4 linked regions of the Oryzias latipes genome follow. The protein of the gene in region 1 purifies or fractionates together with the protein of each later gene. This does not show direct contact. Links are inferred from orthologs where the notes say so. Each region holds a gene or a part of one and is shown on either strand. Other genes may lie near its edges.

Region 1 (5,091 bases):
CTGCGGGCCACGTGAGCCCATCAGCGGGGAGCTAACGAGCGCGAGCGCGGCCGCCGGCGCTGTCAGTCAGTGTGCGCGTGCAGGTGGAGCTAACGTTAGCTACAGTCAATGGTTGGCCTCAAAATTTCTCCCAGTTACAAAAAGACATCACCAATAACGACTGACGATGCCGTTCAGTGACGACAACCGGGGGGAAAACCGTCACTTCATCCGCCTGACACGGCCGAGAGCTTACCGTTTACGGCCACGGTGACAGACCCGCGAGACCCTAAACCGAGAAAAGCCAATCACATATCGATTTCAGACAGAAGAGCACTAGTGTGAAATTATCCCTAATCATCACTTCCGCTCTGCTCTTTCACAATAAAGTCTGGAGGATGAAACCTCGGCTTCTGCGGCTTCGCATCTTTATTACATGGAAATCACACTCAAAAGCTGTTCCATCAAACATCAAATTCAACATTTCTGGTTTGTTTTTAGCTTCAGCAGAACACCATTGCTCATGCAAACTGTGCATCTTTGGGGGATCATCGATTTTCTAAAATAATAAAACACGTTTAGGGGATAACAATAGTCATAGTTGTTTGTTTTCTTTATAAAAACTATAAGATAAAATTTCAATAGAAATTTTAAAATAGAAATAACGTTAGGAATCCCACTAGGTTATGCCTAAATCTTACCAGCACTATTTACAAACGTACAAAAAACTTGTTTTTTATTAAATAGGCTATAATAAATGAAGGTAAATCTGCAAGACATAAAAACTGAACAGAATGAATAAATAAGAATAGTTTAAAATATATACTTACAATTTTTTATGTTGACCATCACATAAAGAAAAAAACAAATATTTGTGCAAAACAGCAGAAATTGATCCTTGTGAGCCACAAGTGATTCTCGTGCTCCTTCTCATATGTAAAAACTTAAAATTTATCAAACAATAATCACAGAGATGCTACGCTCTAGCACATATGTGTATGCGGGCTCACTGTGTCCTAATGAACACAATTAAAAAACTTTGTGTTTTCTTGGTGTACATAGCACAAAGCTACAGCTTACAGCCCTCAATACAATTGACCTGTCATGCTTTACAAATGTATAACTTCTATACCATATAATCCAGATCGTTTTTAAATTTTCTGCATCCTTATGTAATTTCTTTGGGGATTTTTGGGAATGTATAAATGAAAGCTTTGTACATTTGTTTACTGACAATTCCTAAAATTATCCATTTCAGACCCCAGCTGGGTCCTTTTATTTATGCGTTTTACACGAACACGCTTCATGGAATTGTTTTATGACTTAATAGTCCTTTAGGTGTCTGTGTGCATGCCTGTGGGACCCTGCAACAGACTGGTGACCTGTTCAGGGTGTACCTCACCTTTTCCCAACAGTAGCAGGATAGGCTCCAGCAACCTCACGACTGCAAAATGGATTCAGCCGGTTCTGAAGATGGATGGATGGATGGCTGGACTTTGTGTTGAATTTTCCACCATGTCATTGCTGTCCCAACCTCTTTGTTCTGAATGGATGGGCAGTAAATGAATTTCATACTTATTTCTCAGTTAGAAAGACACCTCAATTTTTGCTTCCAGATCATGTTAACATCCCAAAGTACAGGAAACTCAGTCACTGTAAGCTGTTCGAGTCACAGGGGTGGCACAATTAATCGACTTAATCGATTTGCTTTCCTACGATTCAACCAGATTGATCTGTCTGAGGCTAGTTGTTAATCAAATTGACTTATTCAACTACATCTGCTGGAACAAGTACTCAGATAAAACCAAGCAACACATTTTTTTTAAACGTGGATAATTTATTTTAAACAAAACATTTTAAAACCTGGTTAGATCCCGTCACATTTCACACTCACAATAAATCATCATTGCCCACCACCAACCCGCGCCTGTGCCAGACCAAACACACCCACTAATACAGAAAGCTCTCATATTGATTGAAATGAAGCCTTGTAGTTCACCTTCTCTGCCCGCAGGGGGCAGTGCAGACGGGAAACGCACAAGAGGAAAAGAACAATAAACACCAACGAAGAAGTCCTCCAAACGCCTAAGGGACCTTTTCCCCACCGGTCCCACGTGTTTAATGCATTATTATTTCGTTGTCATTCATTCGGGACGCGAAAACGTATCCATTGTTTTCGCTAGAAATGTTATTTTAAGCTCGTATGCGTTTTAGGTGTATATTTCTATTTTGCCTAAACAGAAAATACGAGCTTTTCTTTGGCCGCAGCTAGCTTAGCTAGCGTTAACGGTTGTGTAGCTGATTTGCGGACAACCACATCTGAATTAGTGGGAAACTAGACTAAAGTTTGCTTTTTGGATGAACAGTGCAGTCGACACAAATATGATCAAGGAAAATCGGTGGAATATTCCCCCAAACGCTCCGGCGTGCATGGAGAAGCATCTGTGCGCGGCTCAGTACCGAGCAGGTAGGAAGAGAGAAGGCGCTAACCGTGGGTCACAGGCATAAACCACGTGCTTTTCATTTATGGGACTGGGGGTTTGTTGGTGTCCTGATATATTCAGCTCAGTTCTTTAGTTCGGCTGTAAACTGGTGTGTAACCTTTAGAAACGCTGCTTCCCACGTTCGTGCTGTGTCCTCTGCAGACGGCACGCTGCTCCTGGGCGCCTCCAGCCTCTCGGGCAGGACCTGGCAGGGGTCTGTGTGGATCTACAGGGAGCCTGAGCAGGCCCCCAGTGAGGGCTTCTGCAGGGCTGGCGTGCAGACGGAGGCAGGGATCACTGATGTCAAATGGGTCACTGAGAAGGCCATTGTTGCTGCTTCAGATTCAGGTGCGTCTCAAATGATCCTGACAACTAAAAACTCAATGTTCAATACTTTACAAACATTCTGCTATAACTTAAACTGGCTTTTCCTTCAAATGTAAGAACATATTCATTTGCTGTTTTACATTATTTTAAGTATTTATCCTTTTTCCACATTTTTATCTGTCTTTTTTAACTCATTTTTACTTTATTCTCATCTAATAAGTTTTATTTATCTTCGTATTAATCCCTGATTTTACCTTATATATTTTATTTCTTTAACATTTTGTTGCAAAATTCATGTTTTCCTCAGAGGGATGTTTTAAGTGAAACGTTTTTATTTTTAAATTGAACGCACTTTGTTTTACTGATGTATGACAGGTGCTTTATAAATAAAGTTTAATTTGATTTGAACTGTGGAACAAACATCCCATGGAGCCAGTCGGGCCGCAGGATTATGGCCAAGGGACGGATTTTCTAAGTTCTCAGATTTTTCCAGTAATAATTGCATATTTTATATCGGATTATAGAACTTTATTAACTTAGCCAGAATTCTCCCCAATAATATTATTATTTATTAACATTTAGATGTCATAGTATTTCTTCTCCTTTCTTTCTTTTGGCTTCATTTGTATTTTCCATTTGTTTTTTTTCCTCCAACATTTTTAGTGAATCAGAATAACAGTTCAGTGATTGCATCTACGCCTGTTTGTCCCTTAGCAGCCTCCGTCCTGCATCTTTGTTTAATGGAATCAGGTCTGTCACTGAATTAAATATTAGGCTGTCATCCGTGTGTAAGAAAAATGTACTTCTAAGTGTGTTGGGACAGATTGACATCAGTAGACAGGGATGCAGTGTTCTGTTGGTTGGCAGGATTGTGTTTGGACAGAACTGCTTCTTGTCCTCAGGTGCTCTAGAGCTCTGGGATTTGGCAGAAGATGAGCGGCTGCTGGTTAGTCGCTTCACCAAACACGAGCACGACCACATCGTGACGACCGTGAGCCCCACTGGAGCAACCGGCGCCGTCACCGGCAGCATGGACTGCAGGTCAGACTGCCGTGTCTGTTAGACCGCTGAAACGTTAGTATCCACTCAGAACTCTGAGGGTTTGATGTGATGTCAGTTCACCCCTTACTGCTACAACTACTTCCACTATGGGTTCATATCAGGATCAGCTTAGTGAATGAAAAACCAGATTGTAAATAAATAAAAAAAGATCATTTGAAAAGTTTTAAGCTCAAAAGAACATTAGGATGTGTTCAGACTGGACACTTTTGGTCCGTTTCAAGTGAACCAGAGTTTGTTTCTCTCAATAATCCGGACCAAATTTTCAGTCTGAATCCCCCCAAGTGGACCCTCATCGTCGTACCTTCGTACCATCTTCTTGCCAGTAAGCGTCTTGCAGGATGCCTCCGCCGTACCAAAGGAGCAGTAAAAAGAATTGTTCCTGATGTTAATACAGGCGCCAAAAACGAATGAGCGAAATATAAAGTTTTATTAAGTGAACCATCCCGACAAGGATTGCAAACTGGAGGACTTCCGTAGTTTCTGTCTCTAGTTGCTTTGCCCCGCCCTCGTAATTCCTGGCCTGTGGGTGAAGAGGCGCTTGACGGGAGCCTGAATACAGACCAGATGCAAGGTTCAGGCCTCGATCCATACCAAATGATTTTTCCAGTCTGAATACACACCAACACAATATTGAAACATTACAAATTGTAAAATAGAAGCTTGAATTAAAACAAATCTAGGCTAGTGCTTCTTCACCAGTCTGGTGTTCTTGTCCGTATGAACTTTGCTTTCTGAAGTGCAGTCGTGTTGAAACAGCAGAGATTCATCCTCTAACTCATCAGACTTGTGGGTAAATCGTGGGCCATCAAAAAAAACATTAGATAAAAATATGTTTTAAAAAATCTGTCTGCAAATAATCCTCCTCAGCATTTGACTGACATGCAGAACGGCCAACCGAACATCCTCTGATACATACATCCGCCATCATCCGGGTGTCATGACATCACAATCATTTCACTGACAGCCGACTGGAAGATTTAGGAGCGTGGAAATGTTGTGACTCGGATATTTTTCCTAAAATAAATGAATTCTCTTCAATGCAGGATTAAAGTGTGGGATCTCAGTCAGGAAGCAGCTGTGACCACCTACAACAGTAAGAGAGCCTTCAGTGGCAAAGCACTCCTGTTTATGCTTTTGACCAGGAGTGTAAATGATGATTTTTAAGTCGAGTTGTGTGTTAGAAGTGTATCAACGGTGGTGTTTGCAGAAGGACAAACACTTTCTCTCTCTCCGTCCAGTT
Region 2 (5,051 bases), on another chromosome or scaffold:
TCCTCTCTCTGGCGTCCGACGCCGCATACTGGACACAAACGGCGCCCACTGTGAGCGCCGCCACACTCTTCCACAGCATCCCTCTGTGCCTGCCTCCCCTGAAAGACACACAAACAGTCCTGGTTTTAGCAAAACACCGAGCAGATAGCAGCTGCTTTCCCAGAATGTACTTCTTGTTTGTACCTGACTGAGGAGAAAGATCTGGATGTTTGGAGAAACGGTCCAGGAGGGCGTCTTCTCAGCAGAGACACGTGGTGCCGACATAATCGCAGCTAAATTGGGGGGAGAGCCTCAGTCACGTGTCGTCTTCACAGGCACAGTCAAAAACTGCTGGATTAAATATAATCTGTGAAGCAAGGCGTCATCTGTGCAGCCAGACTCCTGACAGAGATGATCTCTGCTCCCAGCTTCAGTCTGTTTTGAGTCAAAGCACAGCAGAGCAGGGATGGGGGGGTCCATCTCCCACCAAGGCCAGGCCTTGTTGTTTTTGTCTGCATCTGAGGGACAGAATGTCTCTGCTCCTGACACATTGATTTAGGAGATAGAGAGATGTCAATGACCTGAGGCTGACACATGTGAAGATGTCCTCTCTGTGTTCTTCACATCATCATGGGAGGAGGAGAACATGATCTCCTGTCTTCAAACGAAGACAGCTGGTTAGGAGGCGAACTAACGCTCCTGTCAGCGGTTGAACTTGGACAAGAGTGTGAGAAGAAAGGCGGGAACGCTGACAGATATTTACAGTCTGACACAGAATCATCACCGGCTAGCATGACTGCTAATAACAGCTAGCTGCTGGTGAAATTCATGAAACCCCACATTCTATGCATAACGTGTTGGTATTTACCACTGCCGAGGCCTCCGCCGTCATTGCTCTTCAAGTTATAACTGCTCCGAGCGGCGAGGGAACTCCAGGATCCTCGTTCTTGCCTGAAAAAGTCCGGAGTCTGCGCCTCCTCCTCCTCCGGATGCTCCTAGCATAGTCGCCACGATTGACCAAAGAGTGTAGAAATGCGAGATGATCTCTACTTACCCACTTCCGGTCTAGCTAAAAAAAAAAAAAAAGGTTTTATAAAAGTTTTACTTAATACATTCACACATCGACTTTAACAACCCGTATAAAATGCATATTCTTTGAATTTTATTTAATAGTTGAAACGTACTGCCCTTTGTGTGCTGCATGTTGGGGGGCATGTCATTTTGAAAGGATGTTTTCTCCGGAACATTAATGCGCCTCTAATGACGCGAGGTAACATCTAATCTCAGCGGAACTCTCTGTTCTAAACAGACACGGGTAAGTGTCAAAGGTCATGCCCTCGGCCTGCTGATCGATTCGGATTTCTTTAATATTTGCCTGCTTAATACTTTGACAAACATGTTTCCCACATTAGTAAACTGCAATGAAGTGACCTTAATCTGTGACCAAAATGCCCATAACCCCACCCCCCCAAACAGGCACAAGTAACCATTAAAACGCCCCCACAGCATTCTGCTTCTTCTTGTGTGTTATCCTTGAACAACAGCCTTCATCACACGTCAAGTGTCACCGACAAAGAACCGGCAAAGTTTCATGCAGAAAAATGTCTACATTTCTCTTCCCTTTTTATTATTTTTATTTGTATTTATTGAGTACATATTTCAATAGGTTAGTACTATCAATATTTTTAAAACTTTTTTTTAGATTGAAGTTTTAAAAGGAACAAGATTAACGTGTTGTTTTCAAAATAAAAGCTGGATATATTTGATTCACACTGTAACGTGTCTGACATGTTTGTACTGAGCACATCATCACACTTTAAACATTAGACACACACATAAGTCGTGAGTCGTGTTTACACTAAAATTGTTTTAAAGTGCTTAAAAAAATCAATCTGGCTATGTTATTTAGCACGGTACCTTTATTTTGAAAGGTAGTGTGTTTTGGTTCGCTGCTGCGCACCGGATGCCGTAGCTGTCCGTGTCAGTGTTGCGCTTTCACGGGCGGGAAGAGCGAACCTTGAAGGGTCCAGGGTTTGGGTGAAAACCTCTGGAGGCTTTTCCCCTCTGCGTATCGTTGATCCGCGGCACATCGGTGGAGCTGCTGTGACCGGACCTCTGCGTGCGAATTACCGGTTTGGAGTGGGGGGGCAGATGGAGGACCCTCCCGTGGGTTCTGGCGGCGCATCAGCGGAGGGCCCCGCGGCGCAGGTGGCGGATATGTGCTGGCCGACCGAAGCGCTTCCTTTGCGGCTGCTGGAGTGGAAAGTGAAGCCCGGGACACTGGTGAACGTGGACTCCGTGATAGCGCTGTGCGCGGTCGTGCCCCGGGAGGAGGCGGCGGAGGGCGTCCGGCCATCAGAGAAGAAGGTGAAGTCGAACCGTGCAGGAGTGGTGAAGGAGCTCTGCTGCCAGACCGGACACATCATTCCTCCGGGGTGAGTCTGCTGGAAACGTTCGGGTCAGGGGGACCCGCGTGGTATTCTAATGGCACGCGGGCCCTTATCATGGTTCGTCTCTTCTTTATTAATTTTCTCTGGTTCAGGCTAACATGCTAACCCCACGCTAGCATGTTAGCAGCATGTTAACAGCGACTCAACGTAAACAAACTGAACTTCAACAGACTTTCAAATTAAAAGCAAAGTCCTCTCAGCATCACATTTTCTGCTCGATTTTACCATGTATTCCAGTGAGAGACAACAAACAAGAATAAAATAGAATAGAAGCCACACTCAACCTTTTATAGACTATCTCGATTTTAATAAATATACATTCAAACAAACAATGTCTCTTATTTTGAAATGTCATCTCATTGACAAGCGCATGACGCAAATGGACACTTTCCCTCTATTTTTCAGAAGCCTTATATTGTCCTGCTTACCTATTTTTATCTCATTAATTTCTTTATTCTACAAATGTGCACGAGTTATTTTTAAATATATTTATTATTATTATAGAAAGTAAAAACCTTTTTTTTTACTTCTTTTTTTAAACAGAAATAAACTTTTTTTAGGGAAAAATTCCCTTAAAAATTCAAACATCTGACTTGACATAAATCTGGACTGAAAGGGTTCAGACTCATAAAGCCTTCAGGTGCCTCTTTTAAACTCCACCTGTGGACAAAAAAAACGTCCCTTTCCGTGGCTTTCACCTTATTTTTCCCTTTTCCTCATCTTTATCTCATTCTAAACCTCTGTGGTTTAGTGGGGAACACTCATCTGAAACTTGTTTTAAAAAGCAGTCTGAACTAGAAACACTGTCCACACCAATAATGTATTTAAAATCTATGCACTGCAGATGTATTGAATATTGTGTTCCAGCTGAATATCTATCCATCCATCGCTCCATCTTTCTGCAGAACCCCCTGTATCTCTTTCAGAGTCATGGGTTCCACCTGAACATGACCAGTGAATTTCACTGAATGTTTCCACTAATCTATGTTTGTGTGTTTGTTTGTTTTCAGGGGTGTCATTGTCAGAATCGAAGAATGCAGCCACCCTGTTGTCATGAAGGGTTTATGCGCCGAATGTGGCCAGGATTTGACTCAGTAAGAATACACTGTCTTCTGTTTTTTTGTAAATAATGCCTAATTTATAAAAGCTGTCAGGTTTAGTTTGTGTAGAGTGCTATTCCAGATGACGCCATCAGGGGGCGCCAGACACCAGGATTTCTGTTTGAAACGCCTATTTTTTTCCTTTCACACCTAATGATGATTCAGCATATTATTTGTTTTTGTCCACATAGTTTTCAATTAATCTTTTAGCAATGCCCCTTCTTAAGTTTTTATTTTATTTTACTGGGATGAATGTATTTATGTTCACTTTCTTTTGTTGTTAAATGTGTCTCATTTCTGAAATTTGAGGTTTTTTTATCTACTGCTGTCACTTCTCTGCATCGCTTTAATCTCTCAGTGGTAAAGTTCTGTTTGTATCGAGTTGGACCAGGTTACATTGGTCTTTGTAGTCCATGTTATCCGTCTGCACCAAAACATGATAAAATAATCAGTTTTTGAGTGTAAAAGGATTTTGAACTACATTATCCAGAGTACCGTTTTAAATGAGCAGACATTCACATTACCTGGACATCTTGTGTTTTTTCCATAGCTGTTAAAACCACATCAGTGACAGTGAAGTTCAATAAAAATGCACTCGTTAGCTCCTTAAATGTACACATCTGTGAGTAAATGTGGATTTGTTGACGCTGACTTCCTGTTTTCTCCGTCAGCATCCATCCGTGCTGGGGTGTAAGTGTTGGGATTGTGTGTTTGGTGGTGGATCTGAAACAAATAGCAGACCTCCTCTGACAGTTTGCTGGAGGACCTGAGCGTGGTCTCTCTCTCTCTCTCGTCTCAGGCTTCAGGGGACAAACGGAAACCAGCACACCCCCATCTCCACGGCAACCGTCTCCATGGTGCACAGTGTCCCTGAACTGATGGTCAGCTCTGAGGTGAGTCACGATGGCAGCTGTCTGTGCGTCCACACTTCAAGCTGAGTTCATATCCAAGACGAAGCTCTCAGTCTGAGGTTAAAGAAGTGTTCCTGCAGTGGACCACACGCTGGTTCTTCTACAAATGAATGTTTGAAAACGGTGGAGAAAATGTACCCATAAGCCTGTCATACTCGGCTTCACCGGCGGGGTTCTCCTTTGTTTGGCAGCAAGCCGAGCAGCTGGGCAGAGAGGACCAGCAGAGGCTGCACCGGAACAGGAAGCTGGTCCTCATGGTGGATCTGGACCAGACGCTCATCCACACCACAGAGCAGCACTGCCAGCAGATGTCCAACAAGGTACAGCTCAAGGCGAAGCCCAGGAGGCAAACCTGGCTTTAGGTCCTGGAACAAAGTGGGTTCTAAAAAGCTCGGTACTGTCAGAATTAATGGCTTTGTTCTGGAGGAGAAGGGTTTCTCTGATTTCTGCCTGCAAAGTCACCGGTCAGATTCTAATGTGGGGTTTCTGAGGGAATCAGTCTGCCAGAGCTACACCACTTCATGCTGCTGGTTGGGGGTTCAAACGCTCTTGGGCAGGAACCCACATTGCCTCGATCTGTAAGTCGCTTTGGATAGAACCCAAACATGTTT
Region 3 (4,801 bases), on another chromosome or scaffold:
ATCCTCACATGTGCTCAAAACTTAACTGCACACTGAGGGTAGAAGATGTAAAGACCCCCACCATGACCATCGGGCTTCCAACACACTCCAGGGCGTAGTCCACGCCGCCATCTGTCATCTCCACCAGGACTTCATGGAGAGGCTTTGTGGGATAACTAGGGTAGTTATAAAATTGGGTCATTTCATTGAGTTTTAACTGATAGTTGAAGCCAAACATAAGGCCTAAAAGGACGCCTCCCCTGGACCAGGACTTCATGGGTCTTTGGTGGGGGAACCTCCATCTCCTCCACAGTGAGGGATCTCCTGGGCTTCCAGGCAACAGCTGCCTTGCACCTCTGAAAGCACACCTGCTTCAGCTGTTTGTGCATGTGACTATCAACGACTGGTTACAAACACAATCACACACTCTTTCCTCTCTCTCTCTCACACACACACTCTCGGAAAACAAAAGCATTCCTCCCTGACCAGCTGTTGCCATAGTTACCCGCGCAGCAGAATTTTAAAAAGCCAACAAACACTTAAACATCTCCACTATTGGAGCAGCGTCTGTCTGGCGAAACTTTTGATGAAGTCAGAGTGGTCTGTCTCTTTAAGGACGGGGCAGGTCGGCTTATGACACAAAGAAGACAAGGGTTGCCAGATCGGTCATGTTTCCGCTTCTTTGGAACTCTTTGGGCTGGACACATCTGCAGTTGGCAAAATGAACAAATTCAGGCTGTTTTTCTCAAAACTGATGTTTTGTTTTAAATTTAAAAAAATGTTTTTCTAGAAATTATGCTTAAAGAGTTTTGTTGGTTAACCAGATGTCACTAGAAAGAGCTGTAGTAAATTACTTTAGAATTACTTTAAAATATTATTCACACATAAAAAAGTATTCATCCAAATAACTATCAATATTACAGAAACAATTAACACCTAAAACAAAAAAAAATTGAACATATTGAACTGGAGGTGTAAAATTATGGAATAAGGTAAAAAAAAATAACCACAAATTATTGTGCTGATTTACATTTACAGTCAACTAAAGGTCAAAAGGAACATGGGGTTGATTTCAGTCTTTAGCTATTGTGAGGCTTATTGTGAAAAAAATTACTGATATACAAGTTTGAAATCTTTGTTTTCACACATAGCCCACACAATATAACCAATATTATTCTACTTTAAAGATTAAACTGAGTTTAGTCCTACTTCACAAATGAAAAGAAGCAGTGACAGACCTTAAAGCAGTCAAACACCTGAAAATGACATGCTGAAGTCTGATCCAGATGCAAGTTGGATTTCTGGTCATGGTTGTGCAGTCAGAGGAAAATCGTAGTGTAACTCAGCAGCAGAGGTTTCCTATTGCATTTGCTAAGTTTCTTGTTAATATAATTTTTTAAGTGTTTTTAAATAACAAATGATGCAAATACCACAAAAAAAGTTATGAATACAGCTCAAGTTACTAGGAACCGCACGAACAATTGTGTAGAAAATACACACAGAAAATGCAAAAGATTAAAAAGAGACTGATAAAAACAACAAATCACTCAAAAGGAGACGACAACTAATAGTTTATTGATTTATATATTTTTATAAAATAAATCTATCTTGATTTTGTAAATTACCATTAAAAAGTCTTAGTTTAGCTTTTTTATGTGGGGGGAAGTTTAGTCCGGGTTGTGTTTGCCTTTACTGATTTTACTGCGTAGTTTTGTCGGGAAATGATCTGATCTGGCAACCTCCTGTGCGACATCAGAGACAACCTTTACGGCAGCCTGCGCTTGCGCGTGTTGTCACGTGGACATTTCCTCTGCGATAACAGGTAAGTTCTTGCCTTTACATCTTATTTTCTTGGGTAATAGTTTTCCACGTGTCATATTATTTATCAGCAGATGAGCGGGGTGTGTAAAGAACCCACTGGAAAGCGGTGGTTTCGCGCCTAAACGGTCGTGTTTACGGTGAGCTGCTCCGGGAAGCACGTGCTCTCGCTGATCCTTTCACCGAAGCCGGTTTTTTTAGCGCGTGAGGCACCGGGGGAGCCTCAGGGCGCGTTAAAGTTCCGGACACGGTTCCACGCGTGTTTCTGGTTACTGCAACCTGTCGTGTCGCTGTGTTTGCCAGCTAAACACTCGCACTATTTGCACAGCGGACACGGGACGGGACGGTCGCACGCGGCTGAAGACTGGATTCGTTGACGGGATCACTCCGCGGTTGTAAAGCGGCGGGCGGCTATCTGTGTGCTCTATTTTGTAAGACTGTAAGGAGTAAAACATTTGTTTGCATTCTTACTGTAACGACTCGGTTTCCGCCCACTGCCATAGCAATCAGCGGGCGAGGTGCATCATGGGAGCTCATGGTTTTGGTGCGTTTGTCAGTTCAGCTTTTGGTGTTTTCTTTGTTCATTGTGTTGTTGTTTTTTTCTTTAAAAAAGTATCAAATATACGCCATGTGGTCATTGGCATATACACAGAGTCCCGATATTCAATTCAACTGAGTGAGCATGCGCGTTGAGCCTCGTTTATTAAACTAAAAACAGAATTAAACTTTCTGAAATGTTATTGATCTTCTAGAAGGGAAATTATCTTTATCATAGTTTTGTTTAAAAAAAACAGATTATAATGGCGATGTCCTGCCGTATTTTTTGAGAATGAAGTGATATTTATGCCAACACATTGCAAACAAAACTTTTTAAGTAGCAAGTGAAGGTATTAAATAGTTGCTTAAATAGTTCTTAAATTTTTTTCTGCTTTCAAAAAAAAATTTTGCGTTTTAACACGTCTCATTTCGCTGTTTCCCTATCTTTGATTTAACGTTCATAAGTCTCAGTTTAGCGTGACATATGTGCCAACAAACAGCCTGCTGATTGGTCCAGATTCTAACCAGCCGCACAACTTTGTCTTCATAAATGCGTTTCTTTTTGACACATTCCTTACCCCATAGTATCAGTCTATGGGTGGATTCAGACTCCACACAGTTGGTTCTCTTAAAGTGAACCAGAAGTTCGTTTCCCCCGACAATCTGGAACAAATTTTCAGTCTGAATAAACCCAAGTGGGCCCTGGTGCGGGACCAGGAACCGCTTGGTTCCATCTGTGGAGGTGGTCTCTCAGTTCGTTTCCAATCGGACTGAGCTTTGGTGTACTCTAAGGTTCTTCAGTCTGAATACAGTCTGTTCCCAGAGTGGAACAACGGAACCAAAAATGGCCACCGTAGCCGCTCCGTATGGGATGTAAACGGAAAAGGAAGTAACCATGACGATGAGACACAGCAACTCATTGAAATGTGATTGGATAAATGCAGGCTCATTAAAACAACTTTTAATGTGACGCACGTTGCTTCTCACTGTTTTCCCGACCATCTGCATGTCATAAAGTCTTATCAGTGACTCTTGCCGTTAGCCGCCCTACAGCCAGCCTCCACTGGACCAATGGGATTGCAAAGTGCACTAGTCTTTGACTGCCCTCGTAATTCCTGGCCAATGACTGAAGAGATCTTTAGTCACACGTTTTTTTTTTTACAAGCTTTGGTTGGTTGGAAACAGAAATGTCCGGTTGAAGGCAGTCTGACTACAGACCCAATGCAACGCTCAGGACTCAATCTGGACCAAACTAAGCAGACTCAGTCCAGACCAACTGACACCCTTCATATTTTTCAACCCAGTTCCTTACAATTCCCTCTGTTTAGACAGTTGACTGTATATGAGAACTGGACTGAGTGACTCCTCTCCCGTAGAGTTCCAAACAGGAAGTTCCCGCTGTCTCCAAGAAGCCAAATTTCCATAGACTTCTACAGAGAAATGAGCAGCTGTAACTCACTTAGGGGTAGGGTTGTGCCGATGGACGATATCATCGTCCATCGTGATGGGTGACTGACATCCCGATGGAGAGACCACCATCGTGATGCCACGCCCCCGCCACGTTGCGCGTCGACACCATAAGCCGCGGTTACATGTACAAAATATCTTGATGGGATCAATGGTCGGATTAGAATCCAACCGTGTAGATGGGCCCAGAAAAATGTTTTCAGAATATAAAAACGTTCACTAAGGTCACACTTTCGGTCGGAATAAATCATTCGCACATGCGCAGTTTGAAAACCGGAAGGGGATACAACTTCCGCCGAGCGGCTTTTTTTTCCAAACTTTATTGAATGTAACAATTCAATACAAAACAATGTTAAACAGCGCCGAGCGGCTTTATACATTGACATGTCAGCTCAGTAATTTACGAGCCAATCTTCTAAACGTGCCTTTAATAATGTTACGGTTATTATGAAACACCTGTTCGCTCATCATTTGAATTTTAATCCGTGTGGTCAGTGCTTTTTCTGAACGAAGCCAGGATTAGCAGTATGCTAACACGGGCTAACAACATTAGCTTTGGGTGGTGCTGCTTGCTGGCTGCACGTAAACATGTAAGAATAACATCAGCCTTTATTTAGTCGGGACACGACTGGAAACACAAATCCGCGTGATTGTTTGAATGTTTTCTAAGGACTGAGCGACATTTCTGCTTTGAAGCTCAAACCGCTGTGTGTGCTGACGATCCGAGCTGTGCTCAGTCAGACATAGGGTTGGGCGATGTCCCCTAATTTGGCCGTTGACGATGTTTGCTGTCAACCATCGGGATGGACGATGACATCGTCGGGGGGGGGATTTTTTACATTTTTCGTTCTTATATAACTGCTATTCGTTATTTTGCTTTTTTCATTTTATTTCCCAACTAATGACTCATCCGCGATGATCCAGTATAAACTGAGGGAAGTGACTTTAACAGAAAAAGTAACAAGCAAGATGGAAAAGAAGTAGTCCACTCCCGCATTTA
Region 4 (4,915 bases), on another chromosome or scaffold:
ATAGATCACGGGATAATCTGAGTGGGACTTTAAATATTATTATTTGTGCTTTGATTGCTTGAAAAAAGAAAAATGTCAAATCAAATCAAAGCAAATTTAAAGGGGTTTGGCTACATGTTGCACCAGAAAAACAAAACATGAAGAAAAAGGAACTTCCTGGTTGAATAAACGTCAAAATGGAAAAAAAAAATAGTGATGTGTAAAATAAAAAAATGGAGGCAAATAAAACTGTTAACAAATCGTAATCCTTACTTTTCCTTTCTCTGTCGATCCAAACACCCAAAACAAATAGTTTTATTTAATAATGAAGGATCATCAAGGTTTTTGCAGTCAAAACATTGAAAAAAAAATTACACAACATAAAAATCGTATAAAGGGAAGTTTTTCTTTGTTTTTAGGGTTTAAAAATGGTTTTGACTCTGAACAAAACTTTGCACATCTTTTACTTTATGGTCTTCTCTGTGTCAATCATTCATACGTTCTATTATAACCTTCTGTCCCTCCGCAGTTCTCCGGACTCTACCTGGTCTCCCTGGTGGTCATCCTGATCGGCTTCATCACCTTCAATGCCGTCCCAACTGTTACTAGGTCTGCAGAGCCCACCACCTCTTCCTCCTCCTCCTCTTCCTCCATTGGCGAGGACGCTTGCTTCGACAATCCCGTCACTCAGGAGGACGTCTCCAAAGAAGTGTCTGTTCGGATCCCAGCTGAGGTGGAACTGAGGGGGGAACAAAAGAGGAAGAGGAGGGCTGCAGAAGAACACGATCGTGAAGATGCCGTTGGAGTCAGAAGCAGCACTAAAATGTGAAGAGCAGCACGAGTGTCCATGAAAAATTCAAGAATTATGGAGTTTTTCTTAGCTTTTTGAGGCTGATCTGTTTTATTCTTCTTTTTGTCAGAGGCATGAAATGTTCTTGATTTTGACCAATAAATATTCCTCTTCATGTGTGAACATCATCGTCCGTCTTTCAGATAGCTTCTGACAGGTGAGAACCGGTCATGATTCCTCTCTGTCTCTGTGGGTCAAACTCACCGATGACCCTTCATTGTGCTCAAATATGAACACCTGGAACATTTTCAAATCTCATTTGTCAGCCGTGTCACACTGAGTCACATGATGTCTGTTGAGTTTTATTTGCTAAAAAGTTGCTGATGTGACTTGTAGAGTCTTAGAAATGTTTAGACTGTGTAAAGTAAACCAATTAGAAAGAATACATTAAAGATAATTTACAAAATTTGAGTTTTTTTTTTTAAATCTGAGTTGATAAATTGGTAAGTGTGTGAGACCCCCCACCCTGTTTATCTCATCATCATCTTTTGAAATGCTAAAAAAAAGGGTACCTTAGAAATCTAAGGAATCCCAGGCTTTAAACTGGGATTTGGCTCTTTAGGTGAACCGAAGGCCACAAAAGGTTTTCTCTCAGAAAAAACGTGACTTCTTTGAATGATTAGTGACAGAGGATAGTTTTTCACATTTTGATGCAATCTTTTTATTCAACCCATGGAATAAAAGCTGAAAGTCTGCACTTCAATGACATCTGAGTTGTTTTATTTAAAATTCACCGTGGTAATGTACAGAAACAAAATTAGAAATAATATCTCTCTGTCCAAATATTTATGGTCCTGACTGTGTATATATACGTATATATATTTATATAGTCAAAAGGTTGTGCTTGTGTTTTTTAAATAAGAAAATATTTCTTTTTGGGGGGGGGGCGTCACTGTTTAAAAAAATTAAAAATAAAAAAGTTCGGAATGGGTGTAATCAGCTAAACAGCCACTAGAGGGCAGTGTAAAAAATATGCCACAGATGGCTTGAGGAGGCACGCTGGTCACGTGATTCGTTGACGTAAGGAAGAAACCGCGATATTTCAGTATCAACAAGCGCTCGCTGTCTGGCTGTTTCGGATTTTACGTTTTCTGTTGTAATTTCCCCCCCCAGAATTCCCTTGTCGTGACTCGAGTTTTGTCCTGAAACGAGGCTTACTGCGGTTAAACTAAGCCGCTCTGTTACCGGAAGTGGGTCACGGCTCTTCCTTTTGGGTTCCAAAGCAGTTCTGTTCTGTTCGGGCCCACGTTAACGGTCTAACGGACGATGGTTCTGGTGAGAAACCTCCGTCCTCCTACCGAGGGAGTGCGCCACGAGGAAGCCAACACCACTGCGGTGCTGAGCGGGCAGCAGCTCGGCTGTGGCACGTTGTACGTCGCCGAAACGTAAGTGATCCACGTGGCGCGCGTGTTTTGGTCGTTACACGTTGGAGGCAAATCTTTATGCACATTTCATTCACCCCGAAATGTATCCATCATAATATGTTCGATGATAAACTGCAGCTTGTTAGCACTAGTTCAGACCCCAGGAAGAGCTTCCGGTATTGCCCTGCTTTTCAAAATAAAACGTTAAATCGAAGTCATGTTTACGTGACAGTTCCGTGGTTCATTTTCTGCTGTCAAAGTATTGAATTAAAATAGGTTTATTGATTTATCCCCATTGATTTGTTTGTCTTTAACTTTAGTCTCAACTGATCACAAGACCTTTAAAGAGTAACTTTCCGTTTTTTCATATTAATTTTGTATTTTAAAGGTTAACACTGGATGGACTCTATACATGAAGTGTAAATACTATGTTTAACTAAATCTTTTCATTTTAATAACTTTGAATAAAAAATAATAGATTAGATTTGTCCCTGTAGTTAATTCCTGTGATTATTGTTATTTCTTTTTTTAGTGAAATTAAATTTAACTTGATTATTTGCTCAGGAAATCTTAATAAGATGTACTTTGAGGTTCAACATAACTCCTCTGATCATTCATTATTGTTTGGTAGTGCATTTTTAAATGAATATATTTTATTTCTCAGGTTAATGGATAAATAATTCAATAGAAAGGAGTCAGTGAGTCAAAATGCAGCCTATAATAAAGATCTTTATGGTTACGTGGCGCTGCAACACTTTCAGCTAACTCGACGTCAGACTTGATTCTCTTTTTCTGGTTTTTAATGTTGGAATCGGCCTCCTCTGATCTGTGTCTTTGTCCGTCTCAGGCGCCTGTCGTGGTTCGACGGCTCAGGGATGGGCTTCTCCCTGGAATACCCCTCCATCAGTCTGCACGCCATCTCCAGGGATGTCAGCGCCTACCCCGAGGAGCATCTCTACGTCATGGTCAACGGAAAACTAGGCGGTAAGAAAACCTTCAGTCATCTCTAAGCTTATTTGATTGCTTGAAATAAACCATTTCAAATCAAATCAAATCTCCTGAAAGCAGATCTGGGTTTTCTGCTTTGGTTTTTCTTCATTCATTCAACAATTTCATCCGTTCGTTTTCTTGTAGGTGAGGGTGAAGCTGAGATGACAGAGAAAGCAGCAGAAGAAGAAGATGATGATGGTAGTGACAGCAGCAACGGTGACGAAGAGGAAGTGATCACAGAAATTCGATTTGTTCCCAGAGACAAAGCTTCATGTGAGTGAGCGGTAACGGCCACCCGATCCGTGACGGCTAACCGATCAAGATCGCGTAGCCGTCACGGATCGGCCCCCCCCCCCTGATCCCGCCCGTCTGCCATAAAAAGTAGAAGATTAGAAATGTTTGCGTCTGTTTCCACGCAGTGGAGTCCATGTTCTCAGCCATGTGCGAGTGCCAGGCGTTACATCCAGACCCCGACGACGAAGACTCAGACAACGACTTCGAAGGAGAGGAGTACAATGTGGAGGAAGCTGGTAAGGACAACAGACGCACACAGCCGGGGAAACTTTATTTAAAATGTTTTTCTTATTTTATTCCCATCATTTTTGCAGAAATGCAAGGATTTTCTCACATATATAAAATAATCAGATTTTTTTGGATCAATATTAACTTTCAGGTGATTGATTGATGCTGAAACTGATGGTCAGTGAAACGCTGAAGATGACTAAAAGAAACTCAAATATTAACCCTAATTCTTTATAGTTCATACTGTGGCTGTAATGGCCTGGAAATTAAATCTCTGCTGTTTTTTTCACACTAAATATGATTTCAGATTTACATTGATTTTTTTTCTTTCCCCTCTCTTTACTTTCTTTAAAAAAAAAAAAGACAAATGACAGAATATAGCTAGCAGAAATGCTTTTATTTTGACATTTCCTTTGGGAGTGGACCTCAATTCAAGTTGCAACTGAATACAGACTGTAAGGCTTCTGAAACGTTGTGTTTTTGAGCTGCTGCTGCTTGATCGTCTCACAGAAAGCAGCACCGTTTGACTCTGGCTCAGCTGCTGAAACCAGTTTGTGCTTTAGGGAGCTGCTAACGCATTCTGCAAATTGTTGCTTCAAGTCTGAAGTTGAAAATCCAAACCCCTTCCATGTTTTTTGGGAACGAGCCCCTCTTCTTTTTGCTTGCTGGCATTTTACCGTGCGAGAGACGGGCGGGCTAACACAACAGAGCAGGATGCTGGACGGAAAAAATCCAGATTGTCCCGAAAGTAAATCTTTCTAAAGACCCATTCAGATGAAAACGGTGTTTTTAACATGTTCATGTAGCATTTTTTCCTCATGCTGGAGGACAAATATTAAGAAAATAAGGCTTTAAATTTCATTTTTCATTTAAAAAAAAGCTCATAACTGCACTCTGCAACCCCCCTGCTCCTTTCTGCTGCATCTACTTAGAAAAATAGATCCATAGACGTCTTCGTTTTCCTCGTCTGAGCTGGAATCTGGATCTAAACTCTACGGCTGGACAGCTCCGATATCATGCTCGCCGTTTATTTGGACCGGTGATTTTAGGTTGGGGGGTGTGAGGGGCTGGAAGCTAGCAGGACACCGTGTAAACAAAGGAATGATGGGAAGAGAGGTGGGCTTACTCCCTGCCAACAGTTGAGAGGTGAAATTCTTTTTTTTTTTTTGGTCCTTGCAGCTGAATTTGAATGAACTCCTGCCGCTCTGCA

Evidence for each region.
Region 2: the proteins of wdr77 (region 1) and ctdp1 fractionate together in Homo sapiens (co-fractionation; 3 studies listed by BioGRID and IntAct, with this or other methods). This does not show direct contact. The link is inferred for Oryzias latipes from reciprocal best matches to the Homo sapiens genes WDR77 and CTDP1.
Region 3: the proteins of wdr77 (region 1) and gar1 purify together in Homo sapiens (affinity purification with mass spectrometry; 3 studies listed by BioGRID and IntAct, with this or other methods). This does not show direct contact. The link is inferred for Oryzias latipes from reciprocal best matches to the Homo sapiens genes WDR77 and GAR1.
Region 4: the proteins of wdr77 (region 1) and clns1a purify together in Homo sapiens (affinity purification with mass spectrometry; 6 studies listed by BioGRID and IntAct, with this or other methods). This does not show direct contact. The link is inferred for Oryzias latipes from reciprocal best matches to the Homo sapiens genes WDR77 and CLNS1A.

The regions. Positions count from the first base shown.
Region 1 is NC_019863.2:2,526,102-2,531,192, reverse strand, and holds the start of wdr77 (methylosome protein 50), read left to right. Parts: upstream 1-2,029; 5' UTR 2,030-2,337; coding exon 2,338-2,446; intron 2,447-2,624; coding exon 2,625-2,810; intron 2,811-3,691; coding exon 3,692-3,830; intron 3,831-4,894; coding exon 4,895-4,944; intron 4,945-5,089; coding exon 5,090-5,091. UniProt on the Homo sapiens protein: Non-catalytic component of the methylosome complex, composed of PRMT5, WDR77 and CLNS1A, which modifies specific arginines to dimethylarginines in several spliceosomal Sm proteins and histones.
Region 2 is NC_019869.2:25,066,968-25,072,018, forward strand, and holds the start of ctdp1 (RNA polymerase II subunit A C-terminal domain phosphatase), read left to right. Parts: upstream 1-1,963; 5' UTR 1,964-2,130; coding exon 2,131-2,414; intron 2,415-3,439; coding exon 3,440-3,523; intron 3,524-4,328; coding exon 4,329-4,422; intron 4,423-4,631; coding exon 4,632-4,760; intron 4,761-5,051. Other genes in the region: adck5 (uncharacterized aarF domain-containing protein kinase 5), read right to left, coding at 1-98, 184-272, 848-871. UniProt on the Homo sapiens protein: Processively dephosphorylates 'Ser-2' and 'Ser-5' of the heptad repeats YSPTSPS in the C-terminal domain of the largest RNA polymerase II subunit. This promotes the activity of RNA polymerase II.
Region 3 is NC_019868.2:3,863,466-3,868,266, reverse strand, and holds the start of gar1 (H/ACA ribonucleoprotein complex subunit 1), read left to right. Parts: upstream 1-1,713; 5' UTR 1,714-1,801; intron 1,802-1,920; exon of another isoform or gene 1,921-1,937; intron 1,938-4,801. UniProt on the Homo sapiens protein: Required for ribosome biogenesis and telomere maintenance. Part of the H/ACA small nucleolar ribonucleoprotein (H/ACA snoRNP) complex, which catalyzes pseudouridylation of rRNA.
Region 4 is NC_019871.2:4,487,333-4,492,247, forward strand, and holds the start of clns1a (methylosome subunit pICln), read left to right. Parts: upstream 1-1,827; 5' UTR 1,828-2,095; coding exon 2,096-2,214; intron 2,215-3,040; coding exon 3,041-3,177; intron 3,178-3,327; coding exon 3,328-3,456; intron 3,457-3,602; coding exon 3,603-3,713; intron 3,714-4,915. Other genes in the region: solute carrier family 35 member F2, read left to right, coding at 509-808. UniProt on the Homo sapiens protein: Involved in both the assembly of spliceosomal snRNPs and the methylation of Sm proteins.